7 linked regions of the Coturnix japonica genome follow. The main gene of each other region encodes a partner of the protein of the gene in region 4 in a complex. Links are inferred from orthologs where the notes say so. Each region holds a gene or a part of one and is shown on either strand. Other genes may lie near its edges.

The links.
Region 1: the proteins of guanine nucleotide-binding protein G(i) subunit alpha-1 (region 4) and CHRM4 are in contact, whole or in part, in a cryo-EM structure (PDB 7TRK), measured with the Homo sapiens proteins. The link is inferred for Coturnix japonica from reciprocal best matches to the Homo sapiens genes GNAI1 and CHRM4. Residues at the interface, in NP_002060.4 of Homo sapiens: Arg32, Leu194, Glu318, Tyr320, Phe336, Asp337, Ala338, Thr340, Asp341, Ile343, Ile344, Lys345, Asn347, Leu348, Lys349, Asp350, Cys351, Gly352, Leu353, Phe354; in NP_000732.2 of Homo sapiens: Asn67, Arg130, Cys133, Val134, Pro137, Leu138, Pro141, Ala142, Ile218, Ala221, Ser222, Ser224, Val226, Arg394, Lys397, Val398, Thr401, Ile402, Cys456, Asn457.
Region 2: the proteins of guanine nucleotide-binding protein G(i) subunit alpha-1 (region 4) and S1PR1 are in contact, whole or in part, in a cryo-EM structure (PDB 7VIE), measured with the Homo sapiens proteins. The link is inferred for Coturnix japonica from reciprocal best matches to the Homo sapiens genes GNAI1 and S1PR1. Residues at the interface, in NP_002060.4 of Homo sapiens: Ala31, Arg32, Glu33, Val34, Leu194, Thr219, Tyr320, Phe334, Asp337, Ala338, Thr340, Asp341, Ile343, Ile344, Lys345, Asn347, Leu348, Lys349, Asp350, Cys351, Gly352, Leu353, Phe354; in NP_001307659.1 of Homo sapiens: Arg78, Met80, Arg142, Thr145, Met146, Met149, Lys150, Leu151, His152, Asn153, Arg231, Ser232, Leu235, Thr236, Phe237, Lys250, Leu254, Thr257, Thr314, Asn315, Lys316.
Region 3: the proteins of guanine nucleotide-binding protein G(i) subunit alpha-1 (region 4) and HRH1 are in contact, whole or in part, in a cryo-EM structure (PDB 9LRD), measured with the Homo sapiens proteins. The link is inferred for Coturnix japonica from reciprocal best matches to the Homo sapiens genes GNAI1 and HRH1. Residues at the interface, in NP_002060.4 of Homo sapiens: Arg32, Asp193, Leu194, Asp315, Phe336, Thr340, Asp341, Ile343, Ile344, Asn347, Leu348, Asp350, Cys351, Gly352, Leu353, Phe354; in NP_000852.1 of Homo sapiens: Arg125, Ser128, Val129, Pro132, Leu133, Leu136, Lys137, Thr140, Ile213, Val217, His220, Cys221, Arg409, Lys412, Ala413, Gln416, Leu417, Cys471, Asn472.
Region 5: the proteins of guanine nucleotide-binding protein G(i) subunit alpha-1 (region 4) and CX3CR1 are in contact, whole or in part, in a cryo-EM structure (PDB 7XBW), measured with the Homo sapiens proteins. The link is inferred for Coturnix japonica from reciprocal best matches to the Homo sapiens genes GNAI1 and CX3CR1. Residues at the interface, in NP_002060.4 of Homo sapiens: Glu28, Ala31, Arg32, Glu33, Val34, Asp193, Leu194, Phe336, Thr340, Asp341, Ile343, Ile344, Lys345, Asn347, Leu348, Lys349, Asp350, Cys351, Gly352, Leu353, Phe354; in NP_001164642.1 of Homo sapiens: Val52, Ala55, Leu56, Ser64, Thr66, Asp67, Leu70, Arg127, Ala130, Ile131, Ala134, Ala135, Met138, Asn139, Asn140, Arg141, Gln144, His145, Thr217, Leu218, Asn223, Lys226, Ala227, Lys228, Ala229, Ile230, Leu232, Tyr293, Gly297, Glu298.
Region 6: the proteins of guanine nucleotide-binding protein G(i) subunit alpha-1 (region 4) and RGS1 are in contact, whole or in part, in a crystal structure (PDB 2GTP), measured with the Homo sapiens proteins. The link is inferred for Coturnix japonica from reciprocal best matches to the Homo sapiens genes GNAI1 and RGS1. Residues at the interface, in NP_002060.4 of Homo sapiens: Val179, Lys180, Thr181, Thr182, Gly183, Ile184, Val185, Gln204, Ser206, Glu207, Lys209, Lys210, His213, Ala235, Glu236, Asp237, Glu238; in NP_002913.3 of Homo sapiens: Ser105, Glu106, Phe107, Ser108, Glu110, Asn111, Ser143, Asp144, Ala145, Ala146, Gln148, Ile149, Asn150, Ile151, Asp152, Phe153, Arg156, Leu181, Lys184, Asp185, Ser186, Arg189.
Region 7: the proteins of guanine nucleotide-binding protein G(i) subunit alpha-1 (region 4) and PTAFR are in contact, whole or in part, in a cryo-EM structure (PDB 8XYD), measured with the Homo sapiens proteins. The link is inferred for Coturnix japonica from reciprocal best matches to the Homo sapiens genes GNAI1 and PTAFR. Residues at the interface, in NP_002060.4 of Homo sapiens: Arg32, Asp193, Leu194, Glu318, Ile319, Tyr320, Phe336, Thr340, Asp341, Ile343, Ile344, Lys345, Asn347, Leu348, Lys349, Asp350, Cys351, Gly352, Leu353, Phe354; in NP_000943.1 of Homo sapiens: Ile52, Arg115, Ala118, Val119, Pro122, Ile123, Thr125, Ala126, Gln127, Ala128, Arg222, Asn223, Val226, Arg229, Ala230, Met233, Val234, Thr297, Lys298, Arg301.

The regions. Positions count from the first base shown.
Region 1 is NC_029520.1:21,114,985-21,118,996, reverse strand, and holds the start of CHRM4 (muscarinic acetylcholine receptor M4), read right to left. Parts: upstream 2,801-4,012; 5' UTR 1-2,800. UniProt on the Homo sapiens protein: The muscarinic acetylcholine receptor mediates various cellular responses, including inhibition of adenylate cyclase, breakdown of phosphoinositides and modulation of potassium channels through the action of G proteins.
Region 2 is NC_029523.1:10,029,675-10,033,770, reverse strand, and holds the start of S1PR1 (sphingosine 1-phosphate receptor 1), read left to right. Parts: upstream 1-1,296; 5' UTR 1,297-1,436; intron 1,437-1,538; exon of another isoform or gene 1,539-1,995; intron 1,996-2,027; exon of another isoform or gene 2,028-2,223; intron 2,224-2,426; 5' UTR 2,427-2,498; coding exon 2,499-3,638; 3' UTR 3,639-4,096.
Region 3 is NC_029527.1:2,863,085-2,867,293, reverse strand, and holds the start of HRH1 (histamine H1 receptor), read right to left. Parts: upstream 2,801-4,209; 5' UTR 2,691-2,800; intron 2,293-2,690; 5' UTR 2,242-2,292; intron 934-2,241; 5' UTR 812-933; coding exon 1-811. UniProt on the Homo sapiens protein: G-protein-coupled receptor for histamine, a biogenic amine that functions as an immune modulator and a neurotransmitter.
Region 4 is NC_029516.1:10,212,501-10,216,000, forward strand, and holds part of guanine nucleotide-binding protein G(i) subunit alpha-1, read right to left. Parts: intron 2,990-3,500; coding exon 2,860-2,989; intron 1,550-2,859; coding exon 1,396-1,549; intron 537-1,395; coding exon 346-536; 3' UTR 322-345; exon of another isoform or gene 222-321; 3' UTR 1-221. UniProt on the Homo sapiens protein: Guanine nucleotide-binding proteins (G proteins) function as transducers downstream of G protein-coupled receptors (GPCRs) in numerous signaling cascades.
Region 5 is NC_029517.1:40,718,417-40,722,565, forward strand, and holds the start of CX3CR1 (CX3C chemokine receptor 1), read left to right. Parts: upstream 1-1,349; 5' UTR 1,350-1,461; intron 1,462-1,726; exon of another isoform or gene 1,727-2,090; intron 2,091-3,402; exon of another isoform or gene 3,403-4,149. UniProt on the Homo sapiens protein: Receptor for the C-X3-C chemokine fractalkine (CX3CL1) present on many early leukocyte cells; CX3CR1-CX3CL1 signaling exerts distinct functions in different tissue compartments, such as immune response, inflammation, cell adhesion and chemotaxis.
Region 6 is NC_029523.1:3,509,340-3,513,571, forward strand, and holds the start of RGS1 (regulator of G-protein signaling 1), read right to left. Parts: upstream 2,801-4,232; 5' UTR 2,668-2,800; coding exon 2,564-2,667; intron 2,189-2,563; coding exon 2,105-2,188; intron 1,478-2,104; coding exon 1,416-1,477; intron 834-1,415; coding exon 670-833; intron 1-669. UniProt on the Homo sapiens protein: Regulates G protein-coupled receptor signaling cascades, including signaling downstream of the N-formylpeptide chemoattractant receptors and leukotriene receptors. Inhibits B cell chemotaxis toward CXCL12.
Region 7 is NC_029538.1:1,410,523-1,414,792, forward strand, and holds the start of PTAFR (platelet-activating factor receptor), read right to left. Parts: upstream 2,801-4,270; 5' UTR 2,725-2,800; exon of another isoform or gene 1,351-2,724; intron 945-1,350; 5' UTR 762-944; intron 1-761. UniProt on the Homo sapiens protein: Receptor for platelet activating factor, a chemotactic phospholipid mediator that possesses potent inflammatory, smooth-muscle contractile and hypotensive activity.

The sequences.
Region 1 (4,012 bases), on a different chromosome or scaffold from region 4:
GCCTGGGGCACAGCTACACTGCTGCTGCCTACTGCATGAATGCTGCTTGCCTTAACGGGATGCTCTTGGTCTTCTATGGCCCCGGGCTGGAGCTCTGTCAGCAGCCAGGTGCAGATACAGTGGGGAAAGGGGAAGAGGCTGAGAGCAACAGATGTCTGCCCACAGCAGCTGCACCCTCCTTGTGTCTGGGATCAAACACCTGTGGGAGAGACAGGGATTGGGGGAGAGAGCAGCAAGAACAGCTTGGGACTGAGACCAAGTCAGCTGTGGGGGAGCAGGGATCGTAGCTGCCCTGCGTGCTGCTTTCAGCCCTGCCCTGGACAGACTCCACAAGGCACTTGTCCCATCCCTCTCACCCCATCCTGCTCCATCCCATCCCTTCCCGTCCCAGCGGCCCCGCTCCCAGCCGAGGAGGCATGGGGAGGCTCAGGGTCCAGGCGCCGAGCTGCCACTCGGGATCCGCCCTGTGACCTGGACATGGACGTCGTGTTTGCTCAAAGTGATGTTTTCCGCCCTTGGCGTTGCACAACTGAAACCTCAGAGTTTCCCACAGCCCGATTAGCCCAGCACTGCTGGACCCAGACCAAGGCAGCGTTAACCCTTAGCGCTGCAGGAACACTCAGCTCCTGCCCTCTGAGGTGTGACAGAGGTGATTTCTGTGCCTGGCCTCATGCTTGGACCCCACTCCCCTCCAGGTACATGTAGCTCAGTGCCATGCAGTTCCACCACTGCCATGCCCTGATGGCACTCAGGCAGTGCCAATGCCCGCTGCTGTTGTGCCCTCTGAGGAGTCACAAAACACATTAAGGCCATGGTGGCAGCAGAAGGGCTGCCTTTCTGGATCTCCAGCATTCGGCTTCCAGGCACTGCCCACTGCCTGCAGCACTCAGCAGCACTGGGGCAGCCTGCCCACTGCGCAGGGCTCTGCCTTTAAAGGCCAGGCTTCTGCTGCCCCTCCTGCCGGCTGACCGATGGAGCTCCTCTGCTGAGCTCTTGAGGCTGAGCAAACAGCTGCCACGGCTCCTGCATTCCCCTGGCCCCTCTGCGTCACGGCAGCAGTGCAGGGCCAAGGCGGCTCTGCTTGGAATGCCAACCCCGGGCAGGCTCCAGTGAGCCCACAAATGCCAATGTGAAGGAGCTCCAGTGGTGCTCAGGTGCTGAGCATCCCCATTGCTTGGGGCAGGCTCTGATGCCAGAGCAGGCTGAAGAGTGGGGATGGAGGTGGGAGGGGAAGAAAACAGGAATGGCTCAGTGCAAAATCCCTCTGTCTCACTGCCCCAGAGCACACCTTTGGCTTCCAAAGCTGCACAGTTCAAGAGCCAGCACAGATGGATGCTGAAACACAAGAAAACCTCCCTTGGTTTGATGGAGAACAAGAGCAGCACATCCCCATGGCCAACAGAGGACAGACAATGCTCTTTAATGCCTCCGTTTGGAGCATCAAGGGGCAGCGGGGCTGTTTGGGCTCTGAACCTCATGCCATGTTTGTGTGTACATGGGCAGGCGAGCTGTGTTGGTGCCAAAGGCGGCACCCGCTGCAAACAGCTCCCATTGCCCTCTCTCTACTGCCACTCTGCCCCCACCCCCAGCCCTGCAGTGCCCACTTGCCCTCAGCACTGTTGGCTGTATCTCATCATGTCAGGGGACAGCAGCTCCGGGGCTGAGGCCTGCTGGGCACCGCCGCTCCTCAGCTCGTTATTTTTATTACCTGACTTTGTCTGCGTTTTCCTGGGGAGATGTTTGTCATTTCCATTAGAAACAACAAACAAACAAACAAGAATAAAGCAAAAAACCCACAACTATGACAAAAACTGATATCAATAGGACCCTCGTGGGGACAGTTTAAAGAGAAAAACCATGCCCCTTCTGCAAACTCAGAGTAATTGGATCACAGCATTAATTAATCATTTCAGTTCATTTCTCTTCTATGAAAGAACACAGACCGACCTGCTGCCGCAGGCACGGCGTGTGGCTGAGCACACCGTGCTGATGGTGCCCCTCCTGTGCGTCCCTGCCCAGTGGATGCAGGGCACAACATGGGGCTGTTGTGGTTGTTCCTTGGGCTGCCCGTGAGGGTGACACAGCCGCAGCCCTGGGCAGTGTGGCAGCAACACAGCTGGGGATCGGCAGGTGCCCAAGTGCCAGGTGCTGGGAGTAGCAACGCTCAGAGCATCCCATCGCTGCTCGGGGTCCCAGTAAGACCCCGGAGATGCGGCTGCTGCTCTGCAGCTGGAAAAGCAGCGCTCCAATCACGGTGTCAGCAAGTAGCAGATTGAAATCACGGCCACAGTGAAGCCAGAGGGGTTCAGAGTGAGGAAGGACAGAACCGAGCGTTGCACTGATTTGAGAACACGCCAGGGGCCGTCCCTTGATTTGAAGCCAATGTCATTATTTTGGGAACGAGGTGCGTGCGGCTGCCCGACCCATCGGCCGCGGGGAGCTCCATGCGGTGCACGGCCCGGGGCTCTGCGCAGCGCTGCGCGTCCCGGGTAGGGAGGGACAAAGTAGCCAAAGGAGAGGGCATCTCGTCCCAGAACCAGAGGGGAAGCAAAGGCAAAAACGCACGTAGCGTCCTGCCCGGGAGACAAATCTCCGTCCGAGAGGAGTTACCGGGGAAGCGAACGCTCCGGAGCCGCGGGACGGGGCACGGCGGGCACGGACCAAGGAGCGGCGCTGCCCGGACAGAGCCGCCGCCGGGTGCAGCCCCGCACCTCTTCGCTCCCCCCGAGGAGGGGAAGCGACGGCGGTTTCTGCTGCGAAGGAAGGGCCCCTTCGTGGACACCCAGGAAAGTTGGAGGAGAGCCCCTACGACTCCCGAGCGCTCCCCAGCCCTGCACCGCGCACCCCGACGCGTACCCCATCATCTCCCCAGAGCCCAGCGGACAGACCCTCGGCACCCCCCGGCCCCGCGGCACTCACCGGGCAGCCCCCAGGGCGCGCCGTCGCCCGCGGCCGAGTGGTTCTCAGCGGCCATGGTGCAGCGCCGAGAGCTCCGCCGCGCCGTCGGGGGCTCCGGCACGCATGGCCCCGGCCGGCACCCGGCTCCCGGCGGCGCCGAGCGGCGGAGGGCGGGGAGGGGCGGGGGGAGGGGGAGGACCCGGCTCTGGCGGCCCGGCCCGGTTCCCCCCTCCCAACATCTCCTCCCCGCCCCCTCCCTCTCCCGCCCCCAGATGTGCCGCCCCCAGATGTGTCCCCCCCTCACCCCCCCACAAACGCCGGGGGAAAGCTTTGGATACGGAGGGGGGAGCACAACGTCACGGTGCCGCGGCCAATCCCCGCGCCGCCGCCCCCCTCCAAAAATAAAGAAACCCTCGTGTGCCCCCTCCTTTCCCCACATGTGCTCTCCCCCACCCCGGGCAGATGTGCCACGGCCCCCCCGCACCCCGCAGCAGGGCGGGCAGCCCTGCAGCACCGCGGACAGCGGCGGGCAGCGGGCACCGAGCGGGCACTGCGGGACGGGACGGCGCGGCGGCAGCGCCCGAAGGCAGAGCCGGGACGTTGCGGTCACGGGGGAGCTGAGAGAAAGTGCCTTGGATGCGGCGGCCCAAAGCCCTGACCTCAGGCACACCACACCACACCACACCACACCCTTTCCTCTTCCTTCTTCCCTCCCCAAGAAAATCAGTGCCAGGGAAACTGCCGCGCTCCGGGTGCACCCATTTGGCTGAGCGCTCCCAAGCCGATGGGGCTGCGCAGGCATTGGGCTGCTTGATGGGCCCCAGCTGTCGAGGGTCGGCACTCCAGGCCTCTCCCATCACACACAGCTCCTCCAGTACGTCCTGGACACCTCCCCCCCTGCACACCCCTGCCCCCAGAAGCCCCCACTGAACCCAGCGCTACCATCCACGCGCTTTAATATTCATCAAATACAGGCCTGGTCTAAAGAAAATGTGCCTGATGATGGAACTATTTACATTGCAAATCACTTCTAATAACCCTCCAGTAGGCAGCCTGGTGATAAACGCTAATCCATCTACCAGCCTCTCCACCCCCCGCCCCAAAAATAAAGAAA
Region 2 (4,096 bases), on a different chromosome or scaffold from region 4:
GTTCAGAGTCAAACTGAAACTGCCCAGCCATTTCACACAACCTCTGATGAATAATGTGTTGGACATCACTTCTTTGGGCTACAGCCCTCTCAGCTGCTTTACCAATAACTCAAACATGAAAGCTTGTACATCTGGCTGTTGAAACCCTGAGTCACTCTGTCCTTTAATTAAAGCATGTCTCTTTATTATGTCCCTCTTGCTTAAAATTACGAGAGAAATATTTCCTAGAGGCGAATGCCTAATAAATGCACTTTTACTTAGTATTTTCTATAGATTAGCTAAGTAAGGGGGAAAGCTTGCAGTATCTAGGGTACGTCAGGCAGTTGCAGGGGATGCATATGTCAACCTCGAGCATGATTTATCTTGCATGCCTTTTCTGACAGTTGTAATTTAACGGCTGTATTTTCCTCCAGGCTCTCAAGAGGCTGAACATCTTTTCAAGTTTCTAGCTTGGTGGTGGAAGATTCAACGTCTGTTTGCCAGTGTAATTTATTGAGTCATTCTGGGAGAGGCGTGGAGCAACTGAAGCGTGAGCATTCGCATAGATGTGAGTAGAGAGGGACTCTTCCAGGGCAGCCTCTTTCAGAGGAGAGCTGCTTCCCTTAATGACCGCCCCTGCTCACTGAGATGCACAGTGCCATGGACTAGAAGGCTCGATACCTTGTGCTCTGATCCACTGTGATATTATCTTGCATTTCAGTTTGGAGTTACAAAGAGCAGAGTAAGAAAGGGAGAGGGAAATTTCTGCACTGTGATCAACTCAAGGTAACCAAGAGTCACATACACTGAGGTGGGTGCTTCTGGAGGAGCTATAAAACCTGAATTCACTTCTTTCTCAGTCTTCGTGTGATGGCAGTGCTACAGCTGTTAAAAAAAGAAAGACTTATAGCTCATTACTCTTTACATAAAACTTTAGAATCCTCTGAACTTTGAGATTTTTTTTTTTTATTCCCATGTTGAAAGCCCAATCAGTAGTGGTGTTTGTGGTGGCAAGGAGCGTAAGATGAGCCCTCAGCCAGGGGCAAATGATGGCTTCAGTCGGCAGCCAGGTTCCCGTGCTCAGCCTCCCCGGCCGAGAAGCGGGGTAGGCGGCGGCAGGGCAGGGAGGGAACCGGGACCGCGACGCCGCCTCCCTGCCCAGCGAGGGCAGACGTCCCGCGGGACGGAATGGGACGGGGCTGAGCGGCGGCTCCGCCGGTCCCGCCTCTTCTGGGCTTGCCTTGTCGGCCCTTCTCTCGCCCGCAGCCGCCGGCGCTATAAAGGCGTGCAGGTCCTGCGGGCGGGGAGCCTGTACGCAGGGAGGGGTTAGAAAGGAGGGTGTGGAGCCTCTGCCGCAGGAACATTAAAACTACCGAGTGCCGGCCGGCCGGTGGAGTCGCTCAGCGGCGCTCAGGATGCGGACGCTGCGTGCGGGCGGAGCGGTGCGACTGAGCGAGGTACGGGATGGGGCGGCGGAGCGGGGACGGGCAGGGAAGGGGGGCTTCGGGGGGCTGCGGCGGGTGGGAGCCGGGAGCGGGGCGGCAGCGGCAGCCGAGCGCGGAGCTGTGCCGCCGGACTCACCCCTCCGGCTTTGCTCCGTTTGCTTTGTAATTTGACGGCTCTGAACGCTCTTTTTCTCCTGCCTGATTTCACACCTTTAATTCTTTTTAAGTGTCTACTAGAAAGCGCCTGTACGTAAAGGGAGTTCCCTCTACATCTGCATTCCTTAATCGTATTTGTTTTCAAAGCTTACGATGCTAATTATTTGCAACACAAAGTTCTTTTTGCCGTTCCTTTGTGTCAGACCCACAGAACAGGTTGCTGTGCGGGCTGTTAAGTACTTGTCTCGTTTCTCTCTACTTCTCCCAGCTCCTTAACGCCCGTCCGTGCTGCTCGGCTGCTGTGCCTCTCCTGTTTACAGCTCTGGATGCTCTCTCGCACATGGATGAATTACCTTTAGCACAGTAAATTGTTTCCCAGCCCCTCCCGAAACGTGTTCAGACTTTCAGAACGGAGGTGAATTGAGCTCTTTTGTCGAGCAATTTCTTTGCAGGCTTCTGTACAGTCTGCAGTTAAAGCGAGTCAAGCCCATTTCCCTTTCTAAATCTCTGCTGCTGTGTGTGCTGTGTTTCCTGCTAAAGAATTAAGTTAGGCTGGATCCTGCTGCTGCGCAGCTTTCAGATCTTTCACGCTGGAAGAAGTCCAGCAGTGCGGTCTCTGCTGACTCCAGCTTTACCTATGCAGGTAAAGTTGTCTTACAGGCTTTAGCTATTTAGTATGCCTAACTATCTTTAAGCATATCATAACAGATGAATAAAACTGACTTTTCTGTGATTGCACTTGTGATTCTGATGAACAATCCAATCAGCAGATTGTTTTGGACTGTTTCTAGTTGGTTACGTGATTGTTTGCCATCCCCTAACGTGGGCTTTGCCTCTTGTTCTCAGGATTGCTGCTTGTGAGCGTGTGCGGGGAGCTGCGGGGCCACCACGGGTTTGTGCTCTGTGTCTGGCGGCACCATGAGCTCCGGCACCACCGCCCCAATGAGGGTGGTCAGCAGCCTCGCCAACACCGACGTCAACTATGTCATCAAAGAGCACTATAATTACACGGGGAAGCTAAATGAGAATGCGGACAGTGGAATAAAAGTGACGTCGGTGGTTTTTATCATCATTTGCTGCTTTATAATTTTGGAGAACATTTTTGTCTTGCTCACCATCTGGAAAACCAAGAAATTTCACAGACCAATGTACTATTTCATTGGGAACCTGGCTCTTTCAGACTTGCTGGCTGGCGTGGCTTACACTGCCAACCTCCTGCTCTCCGGACACAAAACTTACAGCCTCACTCCTTCCCAGTGGTTCGTAAGGGAGGGCAGCATGTTTGTCGCCTTGTCAGCTTCTGTGTTCAGCTTGTTGGCCATCGCCATTGAGAGATACATCACCATGCTGAAGATGAAGCTCCACAATGGCAGCAACAGCTTCCGCTCTTTCCTGCTGATCAGTGCCTGCTGGGTTATCTCTGTGATACTTGGAGGACTCCCGATCATGGGCTGGAACTGCATCAGCCTCTTGTCAAACTGCTCCACGGTGCTGCCGCTCTATCACAAGCACTATATTCTGTTTTGCACCACAGTTTTCACCGGCCTTTTGCTTTCTATTGTTGTCCTCTATTGCAGGATCTACTCCATGGTGAGGACTAGGAGCCGTAGGCTGACATTTCGGAAAAACATTACCAAAGCTACCAGGAGCTCAGAAAAGTCACTGGCCTTGCTCAAGACAGTAATCATAGTCCTGAGTGCCTTCATTGCTTGCTGGGCTCCCTTGTTCATCCTGCTTTTATTGGATGTGGGCTGTAGAGTGAAGACCTGCCCGATCCTGTATAAAGCAGAGTATTTCTTAGTGCTGGCCGTGCTCAATTCAGCCACGAACCCTATCATCTACACCTTAACAAACAAAGAAATGCGGAGGGCTTTCATCAAGATTCTGTGCTGCTGCAAATGTCCCCCCACAGACTCTGGGACTAAATTCAAGAGGCCGATCATCGGAGGGATGGAGTTCAGCCGGAGTAAGTCGGACAATTCCTCCCACCCGCAGAAGGAGGAAGGCGACCGTCCTGAAACCATCATGTCTTCAGGCAACGTTACCTCATCTTCTTAGGAGTGACCATGGAGGTGTGTTTAGAGCCTTCCTCTGAAACTGGGAGCTGAGGCACCTCCTGCTCGCTGCAGCAGTGCTGGGCTGAGGAGCGAGTAGCATTAGTTCTAACGAGGCCAATGGTGCGCTTGCGAGGCCGGAGTTCAAGAAATGGGACACGCTGTTCTGGCTCGAAAATCCATTTCCCTGGAGCATGTTTTGTCTTTGCACTGAGGCGGCTCAGGATTGTCAGGCGCATTCATATCCTGAAATCTCCTTAGTAACTATGAAAGACTGATGCCTTGGGGAAGTGATGCCTGGTGTGTGCAAGAGAATGAGAGTGGGGGAAGAGGCAGAGGGAGAATGAATCTTTTTTTTTTTCTTTTTCTTTTCCCCGTGAGAAGAATGTGAAGTTATTTTTCCTTTACTTGCAGCAAACCACTGACACAAAGCTCTTTCTGTACTGGGTTTAGCGATGGCTC
Region 3 (4,209 bases), on a different chromosome or scaffold from region 4:
AAGCCACTGAAGACTTGCCAGAATTAGTCAACTGAAGTTTTGCTGCTGTACTTTCACACTCAGACATTTGCTTGTCTTTATGAGGTGCATTTTCATGTAAGATTTTTGTGTCCTTTGTCTTTCTGTGAATTACATTTTTGTTTTCAGAGAAAGAGCAGTGTGATCCATTGACAACTTCTCGTTGTTGGTAGTGCTTTCGAACAGCCCTGAATATTTTATAGTAAAGCCATAACATTATGATAGAAGGCAGATAGAAATTGACAATGGCTGTCAACACTTTGAACCAAGTGACATGAGAGAATTCAGTTTCACAGTTTGCTTTTCCTTTACTTTTCTCATCATTAGCAGAATCACGCCACCATAGGATTGGGATGACCCACAAGGAAGAGAGCAACCACGCTCCCAAAATCACCAGCGATGCTCTCATTTTTGTTCTATACTGGAGATATTTCAGCGGTTGTTGAACTGAACGATAACGGTCTAAGCATAAAATGAAGAGACTGAAAATAGATGCAGTACTGGCCACGTAATCCATTGACAGCCAAAACAAACATGCTGTTAAGCCCAGAGTCCACGCATGGTTTAAGAGATAAACAATATTAAGGGGCATAACAGCTGCACCAACTATAAGATCTGCAATAGAGAGGCTAACAATGTATAAATTGCCAACTGTTTGTAGCTTCTTTTCAGTTTTCACAGCACATAATACTAATATATTCATTACAACAGTGATCAGTGAAATGCTAGACAGGAAAAAACCTAGAAGAGCTGAGTGAGTGTAATTTGAATTCTCTGTTGTGTTTTTTGACATCTTTTATACAAGAACAGAGAATGAAAATCAGAGAAGATGACCCAGACTTGGAAATTCAATCTTGATTTACACTCCTGGATGAAAATGTGTTGGACTGCTTTGTAATTTTTAATTCTGGAACTCTGGAAAAGAAAAGAAATATGCTCAATCTCTGTAGTTCTTGTCATTTTCCTTTTTAGGTCTTCCCTACACAACATGTTTCTACAATATTTTACGTAATGAGTAACTTAAGATGTTAATTTCCTATGAAAACTACTGAAGCTTAGCGTACATCTAAAAAGCTTTCTTGTGTGGAGAAATCCTGGTGTGAACAGAAAATACTGATAAAAGTTGTATTCAGTTGTACACACATAAAATGGATGTATTTCCTAACTAATTTCCATAGATGAGCATATAATTTTATACTAATCAGTACCTGAAATATGAGGAGACCATACCAGAATAGAAACTAGAAAACAAAACCAAATCCAGACCTGTGAAGTCTGGTTTGGCTTATATAGAATGGCTCAAAATGCTCTTCTAAACTTCTATAGCTGCTCAAAAGTTAATGAGTAATAGTGAAGGGACAAAGATTTTTTTTTGTAAACAGTAGTTTATTCTGTAAAGAATGGTTACAATTTCTAGCATACAAGTCTTATTCTGTAAATACTCATGTCTATAAATGGCTTATAGTGGCTTTCACACACTATTCATGTATAAGGCCCTTAAATTTTTTCCCTGGTGTACTCATGGTATATACTTAATTGCAACTCACATCTTTTCTTTCTCTTAAAAATTCAGAGTGTTGAAAGCCCACATGAATTATTACAGTTTTTACAGAGGCTTACCCAGTGTCTTTTAATTCATTACCTTGTTCTGGGCTCTTAACTTTGTTTTGGATTCTTTGATTTAACTTAGGATTGACTTTCTGAAAGCATTATTTCTCCATGCATAATTAAGGACAGAGCATATATGTCTTTGCTATCTCTGGAGTTGGTATACTCCAAAATACATTCTGCTTATCTGAATTCTCATTTTGTTCAGTACTGATGCATATAAAACCATATATTGTAATGCCTAGAAATATATTTTAATAGTTGAAAACAAAGGACATGTTCAGGAGTGTATTTTTCTGTGCATTTCTATACACCTTAGTGACAAAGCCACTATATTCTCCTTTTTCACCATAGCTTCCCTGAGCTTCAGTAGTCTTTCCCAATCCTCACTTGCTTTTTAGGGGAAGGGAAAATAAGTAATACTGGCCTACACAATTAATGAGAGCTACAGGAATAGTATCAGGAACTAATTGCTAAACATCTCCTGGCATTCAATTACTGACAGAAACTTGGCTAGGGAAACATTACTTATTCAAAGAGAAAAAATGTCTGGATGTGGTTCATAATCTGGAGACCCTTAATTTGCAGGAAAACAGTTGCAGGCTCATTACTTACCAGCAGAACCAGTGAATGCAGTGGCTTCTGTGCTGTTGACATAGGAACATTCTGAAAACAATTTAAAAAAGAAAAAAACAAAGAAATCAACCTTGGAGATGCTTAACTGAACAAAAGGAAGTGGGGAAACTCAAGCACACCGCTATTGTTTTTCAGAGAATGGCTCCTGAATTGACAAATGAAATGGTGAATTCTGTGCATAGCATATAAAATTGAAAGAAATCAGTTTTTTAAAAAAATATTATAATCAAACATCTAAAATATTCATGTCCTCTGATGCAGTAAGTTAAGCATATGAGCAAACACCCAGTCAGCAGCCTAAAAATCTCATCTAACCTGATATCAATCAATATCTTGCTATGTGCAGCTAGGTTACTACTGGAGTCTTCAACCAAAGGCAGAAGTCAACATTTTTGTCTTTGACATATTAAGTTTAAAATGAAGCCCACCTGGAGAGTCCTCAGCAAAACTGTGTAGTCCTATCCACTTGTCAGTGCATTTCCTTCTTTCTTTCTTTTATTTAGGGTCTTCATTAATGTTTGTCATGGACAGCTGAAATCTGTTCTGAAGAATACAGAACTGAAGTAATTTTTTATGTACAATATACTCAGCACAGTCAATATTATTAAATGAGGATCTCAGACATCCCATTCTGAATTGCTACCAGTGCAACCTAAATGCAGATATTATGAACATGTAACTTCAGTGTCTTTCAAATGCTGGTTGCATGAAGTAAGACTTGGAAACCCATTGGAAGTCTTATTATTTTATACCACTCCCAGCTCCATAATGCTGCCGTCTTCTGATGACTAACCATTCATTTTTATGTACTAAAACTGAACTTTCCTAAATAGAATTTGTCACAGTATACATGCATTCAGTAGTCTACTCAACTACTTATGTACTTACAGCATTCTTGATCAATCCTCTTTAGCAGTGGGCCTATATTTCATTGTGAACATTGAAACCAGAAGAGCTAACTCAATTAACTGAATTGGGTTTGTATAAAGGAAGCTTTACTGTCTGATACAGAATGTCAGCCTCTTGTGAAGACTGATAGACATCTATGAATAATTTCTCTGAGTTCAGAGGAAATGCGGGAAAGGAGGGGAAAACTTACTGTTTTACAGAGGAAGCCACTAAAGCAACAAGGAGATATTTACTGGAACCAGATCCTTTAAGCTACCTCCCACTCTTCTCCAGTCATAATTTGCTTGTTAGATCTCACACAGTTAAAATGAACTGGCAGAGATCAGTGTCTCTTAATGCTAGAGAGCCTGGCGTCTTGCAAATAAACGTAATAAATGAGGAGCAGCTCAATTAAGAAGCCCAATTCCTCTTCATCATTCCCGCTCAGTGTCTGCACAAGAAGGGCTGGGGAAACAAAATGAACAACTGCTTACAGTACAGTTTTGGAGTAAGTTATGGCCCCAATATACCCCCCCAACCCCCTCTCAACTGTCCTCCCCAGGATGCTCTGGTTACAAAATCACAGAATCACAGAATTATGTATCTAGATTTTTTTTCCCTGAAAAAGTTTGATTTCTGTTAGAAAGTTGTGGGATGTTAACACTCAGGAACAAACTGCTCTTCATCTGGCTGGCAGCTGATGGCAAACGAAAAGCCATGAATATTTGCTCGTACGGGAAGCCCTCCGCTGCTTGGGGACTCTGGGCTGTCTAGGCTGCAGTGCTGAGGGGGGAATGCAATCAGCTGCCGGCTGGGATGCTCGGATAAGGAGTAGCCGAAGTGCCTCGAGAAGGGTAGTTAAAGATACAGTGCTTTGGTGGCTGAGGACCCGGGACTTTGCAATGCCTTCCTCTCGGCCCCCCGAGCTCAAAGTGCAGCCGCTCCCTTCTCCCCCGCCCGCCGCCCTGCCCTGGTTCACTCACCGCAGGACGATACGGGGAGAGGGACCCTCTTTTTCCTTGCTGCACCCCTTGGGTGGGATGCTCTGTCCCTCCTCGG
Region 4 (3,500 bases):
AGTATTCCGTTCAACATTTATACAAATACATTACTACAAGTTTACATACAGTCAAAAGACATCTCAGTGTTACCTAATTACTTAAATTTACAAGACAAACATAAATAAAGCTGTTAAAACAGGCAAGTACAGTACTGATCTATCATTCAGAACAACATATTTTGTATATCTTTCACCTTGAAATCAATCAGATTAGAATTGTGCGAAGTCATTCTTCAAACCTAAAAATAAAATAAAGAGAATTAAGTATATCTATGCAAGTTTCACACAATATGGGCTTATTCCAAATGCCTAAGTCCTTTTTTCAGGCATGTAATTTACCATTTAACAATGTCTTGTCTGTTCTTAGAAGAGGCCACAGTCTTTAAGGTTATTTTTAATAATGACATCAGTTACAGCATCAAAAACAAACTGCACATTTTTCGTATCTGTGGCACATGTGAAATGAGTGTAGATTTCCTTCGTGTCTTTTCTCTTGTTAAGATCTTCAAACTGACACTGAATGTAAGCAGCTGCTTCCTCGTAAGTGTTCGATCCTAGAAGGAGAAAATTGCTCAGTAAGCAGGATTCAAAAAGGAAGAACTAAACTTACATTGTATCTTAGAAGGAAGTACTTACTCTGCAACAACCACTAAAAACTGAAAAGGAGTATGTTGATTTAAATAATTTCACAGCCACTACTTTACAATATAATGTGCATCTTGTTGAAGGAAATCTTCTGGACAATTTTTAAACTATTTTATTTTATTTTAATAATATAAAGTGCTGCAGAAAGAGTATTTATAAAAACGGTAGATGGAGCAAGTCATTAACAACTTATCACTATTAAACAGACTGTATATGATTCTTTCATTCAAGTTATTCACTTTCAATTCTCATGTTTTTGACAGTTTTTCTTTTCTTCAGACAAAGAATAGTCTGAAATTACAATGAAAATGATACATAACAGGTCTATGCCTTGTTAAATAAAATTGTCTTTTGTTATATATTTCCTGAACAAGTCACCTCTTCTAATATCTCTGTGTATATATGCACCCTTCAAATAAACTCTCATGTATCCTCAGAGATTCCCACTAGGGGCAAAAAAAAAAAAAAATACACCCGGGTATAAAAGAATAGAATCCAGAATAAAGAACAGGCTAAACCAGAGTAGGTTGACAAGCTCTATGACAGCAACACCTAAAAACCATCAAGTGGATCACCATCATTTCACCTCATTAAGGAGACTAATCTGACTTCCACACTCCTTTATTCATGAATTCTAAGAGCATCCTAGCAATTTAAACTTTATTTAAATATTTTGTACATCTACAGTTACCAAATTCCTCCCAATTTGTTTATCAAAAATAAGATAATTTAACCCCAAATTACTTGACACCTGTCCATTCACAATACCTGCATATTCAGGATAGCAAATAGTGAGAGGACTCCTCTTGATCTTCTCCTCAAAGAGGTCCTTCTTGTTGAGGAAGAGGATGATGGACGTGTCCGTGAACCACTTGTTGTTGCAGATGCTGTCAAACAGTTTCATGCTTTCATGCATCCGGTTCTGTAATTTGGGGGGGGTAGGGAGGGGGAGGGGTGAAACACAAAAAAACAGACTTTATTGTATTCTACCAGAGTTTAGAAGTAAAATGAGGATATACATATCTGATTAATTACAACTAGTTAAGTTAAAAAACACTTTTTCCAGTATGCAGAATCACGTATTACCACAGGGATATACACAGTGCCCAAATAACACTTTAGAGGACTTGATGATCTTGAAGGCCTTTTCCAACTAGAATGACTTGATGAAATGATTACACTTTAAGCAACTACTTTATATTATTTTTCTTCATTTCCAGGCTTAAGTCTTTTTTAGTTTGTTAGGATTTTTTTGTGTGTTTTCACATTCTGCAATAATGATAGTCTAGAAAACTCAATGAGTGATCAGAAGTTGCCAGATATTTATCAGATATTCTGAAAACTGACTATTAACTTCAGCACACAGTTCAGATTCCAATATAATGAAAAAAATAGTTATGTAGAACTAGAGAATTAAATGATAAGGCTCTTGGGCTTGTTTCACCTTAAAAAAAAAGGAAAAAAAAAAAGTTACCCTAATTTTAACACTGTAGATAAATTATTCAGTATAAAAGTACTCTCACACTACTTCCAGACATTTAAGTAGATGGCAGGTATGATCTATTTTGACTAGATTTAACTTGAAAGTGCATTTCTTTCCTGTTTTGTTTTTCTTTCCCTCCAACTATTTTACTAGAAGCTGCAGAACAAGAGGAATAACACAGAAGCTTGTTAACGATTTACATCAGCATCACTTTAGACTACCCAGATAATAAAAAGCACACACTCTGTGTATATTGATGTGGGAGGAGTCACATCCTGAAAGAAGAGAAAGAATGGAAAAGGGATTTAAAGAGAAAGAAAATAAAGATTTCTGCAACTAAGGAAATAGGTTGGAGTACATTTATAAAGAAACAAAAACTGAAGGCTGGGGAAGGGTAACAAAACACAGCAGAGACAGATAATCAAAACAACTTCTTTGATATTCGGAGTACCCATAGAGACAAGGACATGTATTATTGACATCCTCAATGATTTATGTATAATTTGAAATTTATGAAAGAATACATCTCAAAAGAGTACTTGTCTCTAAGTACTCTTGAGAATAAAGAAATTATTTTTGAAACTTGAAAGCATGAAATCTATCATCAGTTCTCTGAAAACTTTTACAAAAAGCCTATCTATCTCATTAAAGAAGTATTTAGCTTCTTATTCTGAAAGAGGTATTTAGCTTCCCTTTCAAAATGCTTAGTTTCTAACAACTATTCCTTTCTTCAGCATTAAGGTACTTGCCATTTCCTCATCTTCAGCCAAGACCAAGTCATAATCACTTAATGCCACACAGAAAATAATTGCTGTAACCCCCTCAAAACAATGGATCCATTTCTTCCGTTCCGACCTTTGGCCTCCAACATCAAACATTCTGCAAAACACAAATACAAAGCAGGAAATAAACTTTGGATTTTCCAGCTTTCTAAACATGAAGTGATAAAATCTGAAACCATCAGCTGTGCAAGCCTGATCACAGAATTTTGAAAAACAGCATAAACTTTGCAGTATTTACTGTAATTTCATTTCTTAGTATAAGAAATAACTTCAAATTATCTAGGACTTAGAAGTCTTCCTAGACATTTCACAAAACATTAGAAAGTGATATAAAAGCAATATAAATCTTTTTCTTTTTTTTTTAAATGAATTATTATAAATAATTCCAGTAACAGTTAACTGTGACCTATAAAAATATTGTTAGCTTAACTAAATGCAAACTTTCATGAAGTTCTTCAATATTTTTCCCAAATGAATAATCCTAAGTAATAACATGTCAACAGTATAAAATTCTTTAACAGCAGAATTCACTCCATTTTAGTACTTGAAAAAATGCTATTCTATATTAAGTGTACTTCTTAAGTGACACTGAAAATTATTTTCAACAT
Region 5 (4,149 bases), on a different chromosome or scaffold from region 4:
ATTAGTGCAGTCAGAGAATGCCAGGCCAGCTCTGGTGTGAGCACTTCTGTCAGATGCCATGTAAGACAAGATACCTCCAAAAGAGCAGTGCTACCAAGCCAACAGCAAGGCCTGCTGTGGTACCTCTCACTCAGAGCTATTTTTTCTCTCCATGTGCTGGTATGCACCCTGACCAACTGAGGTCTTCACATCCCATCTGCCCCCACTGGCTGCCTGGGTATCTATTCCTGTTTTCAGGGATCCTGCAGCACAGGTTCAGGAGGGGCTTGTAAGCAAGGCCAGCATGTAACAGTGGTCCCTTATTTTCTCCTTTCTGTACAGGAAAAAGCAAACGAAACAAAAACGGGCTGTTGTAGAGCAGCAAGGGAATAATGCCTGAAACTCCTACCTGTTTGCTGACCCATGTTTGGAGGTAAATGCAGTCTTTGTAGCAAACGTGAGTGGGGTGCCAAGGTAGCACATGGGAAATGAACTGTATAGTATATGAGTCACAGAATATCCTGAGCTGGAAGGGACCCACAAGGATCACCAAGCCACACCTGTTACAGATTCATAAGTTGAGAGGTCATAGATAGGTAGTTCTGGAAAGTAATTGAGTAATAAACTTTCTCCATTCTCAGGTCCTTTTATTTGTTTATCTGTATCTATTTATTTATTTATTGGTACTGGAAATCAAATATTTGAATAATAAACCTGTTCAGTTGTCGTGTCCATCCATTCATTCATTCATTTAACAGTGAAATCTCAGATTAAATCTTTGTTTTGCAATGTCAGCAGGCTCCCAGAGGCTGCTCATAAATCCAACTAGAAAAAGACACTACATGTATTTTGCTTATGGTATAAACAAGAGATATGCAACTTCTCTTTGACTTGTGTGCTTGCTTTCTGAATTTCTAGAGTAAAAGCATTGGAACCAAAGAGGGGAAGCAAGGTCCAGGTGAAGTGTGTTCCCCTTTAAATACAGCTGGTTGAGTCCTCAGGCTCCCCTTCTCCTCATCCTCTGGGACAGGATCAAGGAGCAATTTGGGATGCTACTGCAGCTCTACAAGTAGGTTAACAGTCCTGGAAAGGTTTCTCCCTGGTAGACAACAAGAGAAAAATGTAGAGCTGGTTGAGAACTGAAGACCAAAAGGCACAACCTGCACCCTGCAAACTATGGTGACTGTGGTAACTCAGATGTGCTGAGCAGGGTCTGAAATAGACAGAGAAACTGAGCAGAGCTGTGGGTCTCCACTCACCTCTCTATTTCCTTGCAGCACCCCCAGTAATCCAGCAGCAATACCAGCACAGCATGCCCAGTCTCTTCTTGATTTCAGAGGCCCACCAACCCTCTCTGAAGCCTGGCGCCATGGAGAAATAGCCACAGTCTGACTCATTCATGAACCTGAACGTTGATGCTGGGCTTACCAACTGCTTGCTGTGGAGGCTGGTTCCAAAAAACGAAATGAATCACCACCTGAGGTGAGATACCCATTTAGTGATGATATCTCAACACAGTACCCACCCAGGTCAAGGGCTGTGCAGGTCTTTGCAGACCAACAGATCAGGGCATGGCTGTCGGAGCAGGTTACAGTAGGGGGGTTCTTTTTGCTTGCACAAAGCGTGCCATCTTTGTGTGCAAGAGTGCCAGCTTTTTGTGGCTCTTCCCTTCTCTAGCTCTTGAGTTAAGACATTTCCACCCCTAGGTGTAGCTTTTCTCCCTCTCTCTCTGTTTTTGCCTCTCCAGATTCGTAACAAAGAACAACTGCATCTCCTACTGGCAGGCTGGAAATCTGCCGTGTCAAGTGACATGAGAAGACTCAGAGGCTCTCTCTGCTGGGTCTTGCTTCAGAGGCTTCTCCTTCCCTCTGAAACAAGTGGAGGAGAACAAAGACACAGGGTGGTCACACTCCAGGCAAAGCTTTGGGGGAAGAGATGGCTGCAGTCAGCACTAAGCATCCCAGATGCACTGTTTAGGCTCATAAACTGTGTGAGGGTTGGCATTCACCCCTCAGAGAAATTGTTTATAGATACTTTTATTGTGTCTTCAAAGTGAAAGTCAAATATATCATAGGAGGCTTAGGGCAATAAAAAAGATGTTTGAGATCCCATTACTGTGCATTTGGATGGAATAAGAAGGCTCATGATCTACAAAGGATGTTTTGGACCTTGATATGAGGCTTTGAACCTTTCAGCATATGGCTTTCAGCTCAGGAGCTTGATCATAAAGCTTTGATATCTCAGTATGTATGTTTGATCCCCAAAAGAGTCTTCAGGCCCTAAATATCAGCTTTTGGCCCCCAGCATGTGGCTTTGGGCAGTTGAAGGGAGGCTCTGAGCATTAAAATAAGGCTTTGGGCTTTCACAAAGGTGATGATTGACTGGTGAGTGGAAGGGGGGATGGCCATTGAAGGAGACCTTTGGTTCTAAAATTCAGGCATTGGCCCTTAGAATGAAGTTTGTCCTGTCAAAAAACATCGTGGTTGCCCAAAAGTAGCCTTCATGCCCCAAAATCCTCAAGGTCTGTATTTGCTGTAACTCCAAAGCCACATTCTGGTGCTGCAGCTCAGGGATCAAGGAGAGCAGCAATGCCCTGACATTCCCATGCAATTGCATCTGCCCAGGGAAGCTTCCAAGAGCCAAGAAAGACTTTTTCTCTAGACATTCAGCACCCAGACACCTACCTGCCTGTGCTTCATGGATGACAACGAACCAGGATTATCCCTCGGGTTAGGAGGGTCTCTTTCTTCTTAGCTTGGAGAAGTAAAAGGTGCTTTTCCCCCTTGTGTGTGGATAAGGATGAGAGCCTCTCCAGCAGCTTTTTCATATTTTCTTATCCCTGGGCTATGTCCCAAGCAGTGTGTGAAATGAGGCAGAAAACAAAGCTGTTCTTTCTTGATGCACAGTTGTCTTTTAGGCAGCATTCGTTTCATATGTATTCAATCTACACTGAAAACGCATGTTAAGATAATGAGTAACACTCTTATCTGGGCTTATCACATCAGTGTATAACAAAAAGTCTTTTCTGCTCCCCAGGGGGATCTGTTGAGGAAGTGTGTAAGTCTGCATGACTTAGTTTCTCTTCATTTGAAGCCCTGCAGTTACAGCTTCTGTGGGTATCCCTTTTGGCACATGTGTAGAGCTGCAGGGATAACTTCAAAGCATTGTTGGCATCAAGGAAGATTAACTCATCTTTCTGAATCTGGCAGTTCTCACAATGAGGTTTCCTTAATGCTGTGTATTAGAAGTCATCTTCTTGAAAGCTGAAAGCGTGTGATTTTGGCAGTCAGAGCTGCTACTTTCAGTGCATGAGGAAAAACCAACTTTGAGCCTTTTGATACAAAAAATGAGCCTTTCCTACAAAAAATGGACAGTTTCTTACCTCTATTTGTGAAGGAGAAGAATGAGGCTGCTGGCACCCCAAATATGCTTAGCCATCACACCTCTAATGCAGCCCTGAGCATCACATGCTCAAATCCAGAGCCAAAAAGGGTCCTAGAGGAATGAATATCCTTAAATTCTCCAGCCCAGGGGACTGCAGGGAGATGTGCTCAAAATCTTATTTATGAGCAAAGAAGCAGCACAACGTATTGTGAGTATAACGATAGTCTCAGGGCTCTAAACGTTACTCCAGAAGTCTGCAGAAGAAGAAAGAATATCAGTGCAGTTAAAATTATTTTGCATGCGCTTTCTAGCCCTTTTCCTTCCCCTGCTTCTCTGGGTCCTAAAGCTGGTGGCTTCACCCTGGCGGTGGTATGAAGGTGGTGTCACAGCAAGCTGTAAGCATCGCTGGAGGAAAGCTGCCACCATGCTGCCCACACTGCCCCAGCCCCTGGCATCTGAGACCATCCCCAGTTGAGAGGTTCAATCCATTCTATCCCCTTGGTCCCAAGTGCCCTCACAGAGAGAGTCAGCATTTGGAAGAGTCACCCTCAGCACTGTATATTAAGGGGAAGGTGTGAAGATCCCAGAGGATTTCTTTTCTCCTCTGTTCTGCTTCTGCATGCACTTCAGCCCCACGGACTGGTTGTGTCCTGCCTCACTATTTCACAACATGACAGTGGGACCACAGCTGAGCACATCAATACCCAGCTCAGCTCTGAAGCTCAGCCCAGGAAGCTGCTCTGCCAAAGTTCAGGTTTCATAGGGCAGGCATAAATGCAAGAGAAG
Region 6 (4,232 bases), on a different chromosome or scaffold from region 4:
GGAAAAACAATTGTCGGTTACACATTAGAAATGTATTCTGTACCTGTATGTTGGTATTGACAGCAAATTAGTTCCTGGACTTAGAATTCAGTGTGATTTTTGGTAGCTGAAGTGCAGAATGAGGAAATGTTAAAGTTTATAACCCAGTCATGTGCAATAAAAATACTGTTTCTTTAGAAATCAGAGGCAATAAAACTAAATGATAGAGAAAGTAGTAAAACAACCTCAAGTTAAAACAACAGGAGAAATCTTGTGTAGGACGTGTCTCCAGTTAGGTATGCAATTGATACACACAACTTTTAATTCTCTAGCGTGCCCCCATATTTTAAAGGGCTGTTACAACCCATAGCATTCCTACTAGCAAGGTTTACTTTCAGGTATCTGACTCTAAGCACCAGCAGTAATTCAAACTGGGCTGACTCAGCATTGTGTGCTGATCCACTGGCTCTGTTGCTAGCACTGTCACACTGCCTGCATTGTGTGGCTCTGTCTGTGAGGTCTGATTATCTCACAGCTGCATACAGCAGTGGCACAAGCGTGCTTGTAAAACGTGTGGCTGGATCTTCTTCCTGTCTAACTGAATGAATGTACGCACATCTCAATGCTTCTATCTTCTGATTTCTTTTCAGTATCTCTGTGATAAAACTATGCAGGTAACACTGAACTTACCTGTTTAATAGCATCTGATTGAACAAACTCCTCATAAATCCTCTCTGCTTTGCCATGTAAGTGGTCAGCTTTGGTTTTTTTGTAATCTTCACAGGCCAGCCAGAACTCTATGTTCTCCTCACTGAACTCTGATTTCAGGAACTCCCGAAAGACACCTTGACCACCTGCAGCCAACATAAATACACACATAGAGCATGATATTTGTGTTTGGGGGGGGTGAAATAAAGAGTTCGTAGCAGGGGTTCTGTTGAAATCTTGAGTATAAAATCTTGATGGGATGCTCCGTTCTTCCCTTCTTTTACATTTTGCAAATATTCCAGTTCCAAGGGTAATGGGACTCTTCCTAATGACATCTAGGGGCTTGTAGATCTGGAACCTGGCTACCAAATCACATCCCTGGATTCTAGGCTTCCCTAAATGGAGTCACGTAGGGTACAGCTGAAAACAAAATTCCAAATTGATTTGGTGTTGTATGCAGGCTGAAAAGTGGTCAAAAAAGCATTGATCTGGGCCTGCAAGGGTTTATTTACTCTTCTAGGAGGAGGAAATGGGGATGTAGGGAACACAAAGCCTTAGGAGGAAATTAGAACGTAGCAGCTGAGAGTGACTAAAAGGCAACAAGCCATTCTCTGTCAGTGTTTGCACAATGCTACAGCTTTGCATATTTGGTGAACTTCGGATTAATAATAATGATGATGATGATTCTTCAGAACAAGGACAATGTAATACTGAAGTAATGTACTTACTTTGGCTGGCCAGGAGCTTTTCCAAAGACTGGGACCACTGTACTACTTCCTCTGCAGAAAGCCTGTGTTGACAAATGAAGGAAAAGGTTTGAGGCAAGAAGCCATGTGTTTTCTTTTGTGTGTTTAAAGGAGACAGGTTTTATTATTCTATTCCAGAAATATGTACTGTGTGTTTATTAAACTTATGGCTTTCTCGGTGCAGATGTGAGAGCCCACACTGAGAAAATAACCAGAAAAATGGAAACATAGGGGTTTAATGGTTATCCTGAATTCTATTTCCAGAGAGATGAGCTTTTACTGTGACTATCAGCAAATAATATTTTATCCGTGCTACTTTTTCCTTATTTTTGAAATGAGACTTGTAATTCCCCTGTTATACTCTTGTATGTGAAGCATCCCCTCCTGTAAGCCATTATAGAATGAGTACAGTGTGCCTCTGAGGAAAAGAGATTTAAGTGAGGTGTCCACTCTGCCCTCATTTGATGCAAACAAGAAACAGCTTCTAATTCCACATATAGTTTCTGCTTCCTAACATTCACCTCTTTTGAAAGTCCCAGCTGTTGTTATTGTATTAGAAATAACTTCTAAGTGTGGAAGTAGGATAAAAATTAAAAGAAAACAAGTTTGACTATTTAGTAATCTAACTGTATGTTTAAATTTGTCTTTACTTTTTTTTTTTCTGTACTTACATGACATTCCTGGTGTTAGAAGACTTGATCCCAGATTCAAGATGCGGTACCATGCACCTCAAATAGTTCTTGAGGTCTGCACCACTGAAAACAATGAATAGGCATTTGTAATCCATTGGAGTTATAGATGCATTTCTTTTCTAAGTGAATTTCTTAAAACTTAAAGGCCAACAGCTCCATCCTATGACTGAAGTCTGGAAAGTCATGTATCCATGTAGTTATTTTTTAAAGACTAAGAGACTCCTGGCGTCTCCAAAATCTCATCCTGCTTACTTAAATGAAAGAGCTGGTTGGTATTAGCTCGAACTGTTTCTAGCAATGCTATAGTCCTGGCCTTTAGGTGGGCTTTATAATCCTTTAGCCTGAAAAAGGTTGTGAATTCTTTATCTCCAAGAGTTAGTATTATTTTCATTTCTAATACATTAGAGTTTATACTAAGATATATATACATATACTTACAAAGCCTTTTGCTTCTTTTTATGGATTTTGCCTTCTGCGAGCTTGCAGTCCTCCTTTCCATTTAATTCAGTCATGTTGTTATGGGAAAAAAATAATCCTGGCATTTTACTGAACTTTGATGGGAAGCGCCTCTTGCAGCGATAATCCTCCAAGCACCAAATGTCAGTTTTCTGCCTGCTGCTGCCTTTTTATTGACGCAGGCAGCCCCACTAGTTGGTGTGAACAGATCTGTTTATCATGTAGCCTTCACCACAAACTGTGGAAGTTCCCTTTTTTTCAGCGCGCGGTGACGTGAGTCTTTTGAGAAAGAAAACAGACAGCAGCGTCTCGTGGTTGAGGTTAAACCGGATGAGACTGATTTACTTTAGGTTTGTTTTGTGTGTCCGTGATACTGAAAACCCCAAATATCCCCTCTAGAACTTTGAATTCTTCTCTTTCTCTGGTGAATTCAAATCAGTGTTTCTTCTTGAGTTCATCTAATGGGCCCCAAATGTTGCAGTTTAACCTTGAAAGAATTCACCTGTTATGTGTCTGGTACACCATATATGTTTTAGGATTGCTTTCTTTTTGTGGGTCAAAAGGAAAACAAGAACTGTGTACTCAAAGATATGCCAATACCTATGTTCCATATGTAGCAAACTATTTGTATGTCATTACCACAGAATCACAGAATGTCTTGGGTTGGAAGGGACCTTAAAGATCATATAGTTCTAGTCCCCCTCTGTGGGCAGGGTTGCCAACCCCTAGAACAGGCTGCCAGGGAGCTCATCAAGCCTGGCCTTGAATACTTCCAGGGACGGGGCACCCAAAATTCTTCTGGGCTGTGGTGCCAGCACCTCATCACCCTCTGAATGAAGAATTTAATCCTAATGTCTAACCTAAACCTTCCCTTTCTCAGTTTAAACCCATTCCCCTTTGTCCTGTCACTACCTACCTGCATAAAAAGTTGTTCTCCCTCCTGCTTGTAAGCTTCCTCCAAGTACTGGAAGGCTACAATGAGCCTTCTCCAAGCTAAACAAGCTCAACTCCCTCAACCTTTCTTCATAGGAGAGGTGCTCCAGCCCTCTGAGCATCTTTATGGCCTCCTCTGTACCCACTCCAACAACTCTGTACCAGCTGGTCTCCAAAGATTACTGTGTTAGATAAAGACATGTGATTTGTTTAGCCACATGTACTGTGACAATATGAAATGTTTTGATAAGAAATAGTTTTGGAGGAGAGAAGGGTGAGATTACTTGTAAGCTCATTACCATAATTCAAGAAAGCCTCTGTAATTTTAGGCGATTCAGATTAGTATAAAGATGGATTTAAGGTTCAGAACTGTTGTTTTAAAGGCAGTGTGATCATTGTAATGTGTGTGAGGGAGGTGTCCATTCTTTCTCCATATATATACTTGAATTCTCCTGCAAAGAAAGTACCTTGAATACAAAGCAAGACACATTGTTACCCCAAAGAGAGAGAAGTTGCCTGTGTTTATTTGTCTGAAGTTTAGAGGTGTAAGTACTTCATCTCATCCCTGGTCATCTCAATATTTTGATTTTCTGGACAGTTTTAGACTTTGTAACTAATGCTTACAATGTTGATTCTCTATAAATAGCTCATGAATTCTTTGTGTCAGGCTACATATGGTCATGGCAACAGAGAAGTTCCTCACTTATTTACAGTTTCA
Region 7 (4,270 bases), on a different chromosome or scaffold from region 4:
CTGCAAAGCCTTACACAGAAGGAAGACAGGTTTGGGGCTGCAATCTGACTGGAGAGATGAACGCATGGATGTGCTCTAAGTTGTAACTATGCTCTGGTAAAGGTGCAGGATGGGTGGTGGGAGGGGACGATGCCTTCTACAGCTCTGGCAGGGCTTGGTCAAACTCATCTACCTTGGCAGTAGTTGGCTGTGCAGTGCCAGTGCTGATAAGGTCCTTCAGGGAATCTCAGGAGAGTTTTTCCCTTTTAGTTTGCCAAGCCAGATGTTCTACATCATGCAACTAGAAGAGAGCGTGGCACCGCTCCCCTCCAAACATATTCAGACTTATTTCAGCCACTGTGACCATATGGGTCATCTCACTCAGTCTCTCCTCTTGAGGCACTTCCCCTTTGTATAAAACACAAACATTCTCTGTGCCAGAATGAGAGAAAAGTTGAATTGAGTTGAGTTCAAGCTGGCAGCTATGGGTCCCATACCCACTTGCATCAGGCTGCACTGTGTTACACATCCCTGGTAGCTGTAGCCCAAAGCCAGTGCCCAGTACACTCCCCAGAGCTTTCTATCATCAGCTTTACCGTGTGAAGAACTAGAGGTGGAAGTCACCAGCTGCACAGTGAAGTGGCTGGGAGAAACACAGACTCCAGTCCCAGTCTCTCCTATGGGCCATGCTCTCCCAGTAAGGATTCACTGGCTGATGGCCACGACATCAGATAAACATCTTTCAGCAGGAATAGCATCAATAAAATCTCTTTCGTGCTTACCACAAATGGATTCAGTGCAATGTGCCCATCTTCTGCTTGAGTAGAGATCGGTGTCTTATTGAGTGTGCTCGGTCCTCTTCTAAGAGTTATTTGCTCTGACCACGGTCTGAAAGGTCTCCACGAGGGCAGCTCTCAAGGAGAGGACACCAGAATGGGAGCAACTGCAGCATGACTGCAGAGTCACTAGAGAAGAGGAAACGTGTGACATCAGCTCAAAGGAAATGAGAAATAAAATAGCCTTGTAGAGGAAAGGCAATCAACCGCAGCAAAGATCTGGAAAGTCCTTAGAGCTGTTTCCTCAAAACATCTTCTGATAATCCCAAAGGAAGGCAGGGTTGGAATTGTCCTTTAGGAGCAGAATAGGAATCCACTCCTCGTCCCTGGGATCAGGTGGCATTTGAACAACCTTCTTCTAAATAGACGAGTGGCAGAAGCCAGAAGAGTTTTGACCCAATAACTTGAAGGAAGGGAAGTGCCAGGAGACTTGTATACCTCCCAGATAGACTCGTTCTTTAGCAGTCTCCTTACATTTGTGTTCGGTACAAACAGACCCAGGATTACAGCTGTGTCACATCTGCTTTGATCTCAGGTACATTCTGCAGGCACTGGGACACCACAGCATGGCAGATCTTCTCCTGGACCACTCGCCATCATGTTCTTACCACCACGACTGGGGCAGCCAGAGGAGAACTCATCACAGGGATGCAAGTCGGTGTGGTGCACAGGAGGATGCCAGTGATGAGCAAAGCTGCCGGTACAGCAAAGCTTCAGGTACAGCCCCAGGTAGGCCAGCACATTCCAAACTGCAGCTCCCATGCTGGGGGTTAAGCTTCATGCAGGAGGCACTAGCAGCTCTGCAAAGCTGAACCAAAGACCTTGGTCCTCCTCAAGTGGCCAGAGCCCTGTTTGTGCCCTTCCTGTGAGAGCGATTCTGGGAACTTACATTAAAAACAAATTAAAAGCACTCCAGGGAGGCTGGCTGGCAACTGGTCCCTGGCTTTGGACAGAGCAGCCGGTGAGGATGTCATGTCACTGCAGGAAGGGGACCCTTAGCAAAGGCTGCAGAACTGCAAAACAAAGTGTGCTGTCCTGAGCAGCCAAGTTCTTAGAGGAAATGAAAGCCTGGGACGTCTGGGGCTGGGGAGGAGTTCTGGTCAGAAATCACTCCCTGCTCTTCTGGGGCTGCGCTGCTGCTGTTTCTGAATGTACAACATTGAATCCAGCGTTCAAACTCATGGTGGTTTTGGGAGCCCGACTTACAGAGCAGTCTGGGTCTTCCAGCACACAAAGTCCACCTGCACTGAATGCCATCCTGAACGAGCCTTTAGTTTTATTAAGAAAAGGGGGAAAAAAGGATACTTTTGCTCGCTGTATCCGGGATGCTGGATCCTGGAGGAGCAAATCCCTGGGGATTGAATTAGTGGGAGAAAAACTCAGCACGGAGTGCAAGCAGAGCAGCAGCAATTAGAGCAGGTGGGCTCTGCACACACACACAGCTGCTTTGTTCAGTGACAAGGGTAGCAAATAGGAACAACACGAAGTGCCGGCAGGATGGGAGCAATGAAGTGCTGTGTGTGGGACAAGGACACAAGTGGGTGTGAGCCCTGCCAGTCCCAGGCAATGGGTGAGCTCTGCAGATGTGCCCTGCGTGGAGCCAGGCAGGCTCTGGGTGGTTTTGTTACACGAAGCCCCCAGACAAACAGCCACAGGCTGTACTACCACCACATCCCTGTGCTTCCACTGCTACTCTGTGGTTGTGAGCTCCCAGCAGGGCACAGGGCCGTGCCACCACTCAGGGCACAAACACACACATCTGCTGGGGGCACTCAGGCAGAGAGGGTGAGGGCAGCCTCGGGTCAGAGACCTCAGGGGGATGCACATCCACACAGCAACGAGACAGAGCATAAGGAGCTGGTGAGCTCAGGAAGGAGGGAGGTGAGCAGAAGGGATGGGATGTCCTTACCTTGGGGCTGTCCAGCCCAGCAGGCGCTGGTCCTCCGTGAGCAGCAGCGTTGAGCCAGGACTGAAGGAGCTCTACCAGGAGGAGCAGGGACAGGAAAGAAGGCGCTGGTTCGCAGGTGGGTGACTCACTTCCCTCTTGGCACTTGCAACATGGCTCGGATATGCCCCAGCCACACCCTGGTGCACAGCACGGATCTCACAGGGAAATGGCTGTGCAGGACAGGGGCTCGCTGCTCTCTGCCATCATCCTGTGCCCTGGGATGGGGCAGCCCCACCTGCAGCAGCTCCACGCCAGGGATCCGGGCTCAGCATCCTCCAGGCTTCTCATTCCCTTCCAAGCATGGGTAGCAGCCAGAGCAGCACTCCATGCTTGTTCCAACACCTCAGCAGCAGCAGCTGACTTACAGGGAGGCACTGTGTCAGCATCGGGCTGCTCAGCGTGGGAGTCCCAGAGGACCATGAGGAAACACTGGCCAGAAATCCACCCCAGGCTGCAGCCTGATGGATAGAACACTCTTTCTTTGGGGCTCGCTCACTCTTTGGCTCACTGACACAGTCCCAGGGCATTGCTCAGGTTTCATGTGGGGTTTCCCCAGGTGTGCACCGACATTGCACAGACTACAGGCATAACACCACTCTGAGTCACTTGTGCTGTAATGAGATTCCACATTTCCTTCTGCTGCCTGCATTCACCGCAGGCTGTTTAACAAGGAAATGCTGCTGGCTTTTCTTTCTCTTAACAAGAGCCAGCACTGGTTTCTGCAACGAAGGAGGCATGAGGATTCTGAGAGCTGGGACAGCCACAAAGGGCTGAACAACCACTGCTGGGAGGGGCACAGAAGAATGCTGGTCAACACAGCAAAGTGTCCAGACAGGGTGTGCCTGCAGCTGAAAAGGATGCGTCCAATAAGACCCATTATCTTCAACTTGCATCCTTGCTTTGGTGAGAACACTGTTAATATTAATTTGACTGGATCTGTATTTGGCAGGTCACCCTGTGGTCACTGAGGGATGTGGGCATGGTGGGGGTGGGGATGGACCTTGGGGTTTTCCAACCTTAATGATTCTGTGACTTCTCTGCCACTGTAGGACGTGCGGGTGTCTCGGATGGGAAACCTCAATGAAGCAGGTACTGCCAGAGAAGCTGGCAATGTGAAGAGTCCAGTTCAGTGGTATGGAAGAGGTCAAACTACAGATCTCCTGCTAGAAATGAGAGACTCAGCTCTCCCAAAGCGTGTAGCTGTTCTTGCCCAAGGAGTCTGAAAGCCTTTCTGTGCCCATATTGAGCACAACACCAAGTCCTAGCAGCAAAAGGCATTGCCAAAACAGCAGCAGCAGCCAGCAGCCAGAGGAGCACCGCACTGCAGCAGCAGAGCCCTGGGAAATAGGGAGAGATCTCAGCCCACAGCGCAGCCACACTTGCTGTCAGGCCCTGGGGCAGCAGGTTGGTGCACAAGACAAGAGACAACACCCAGATCCCATTCCTGTGTGAATCGCAACTGTCCCAGCAGAGGAGGCCTTGCTTCTACATCTGTTTATAGGAAGAA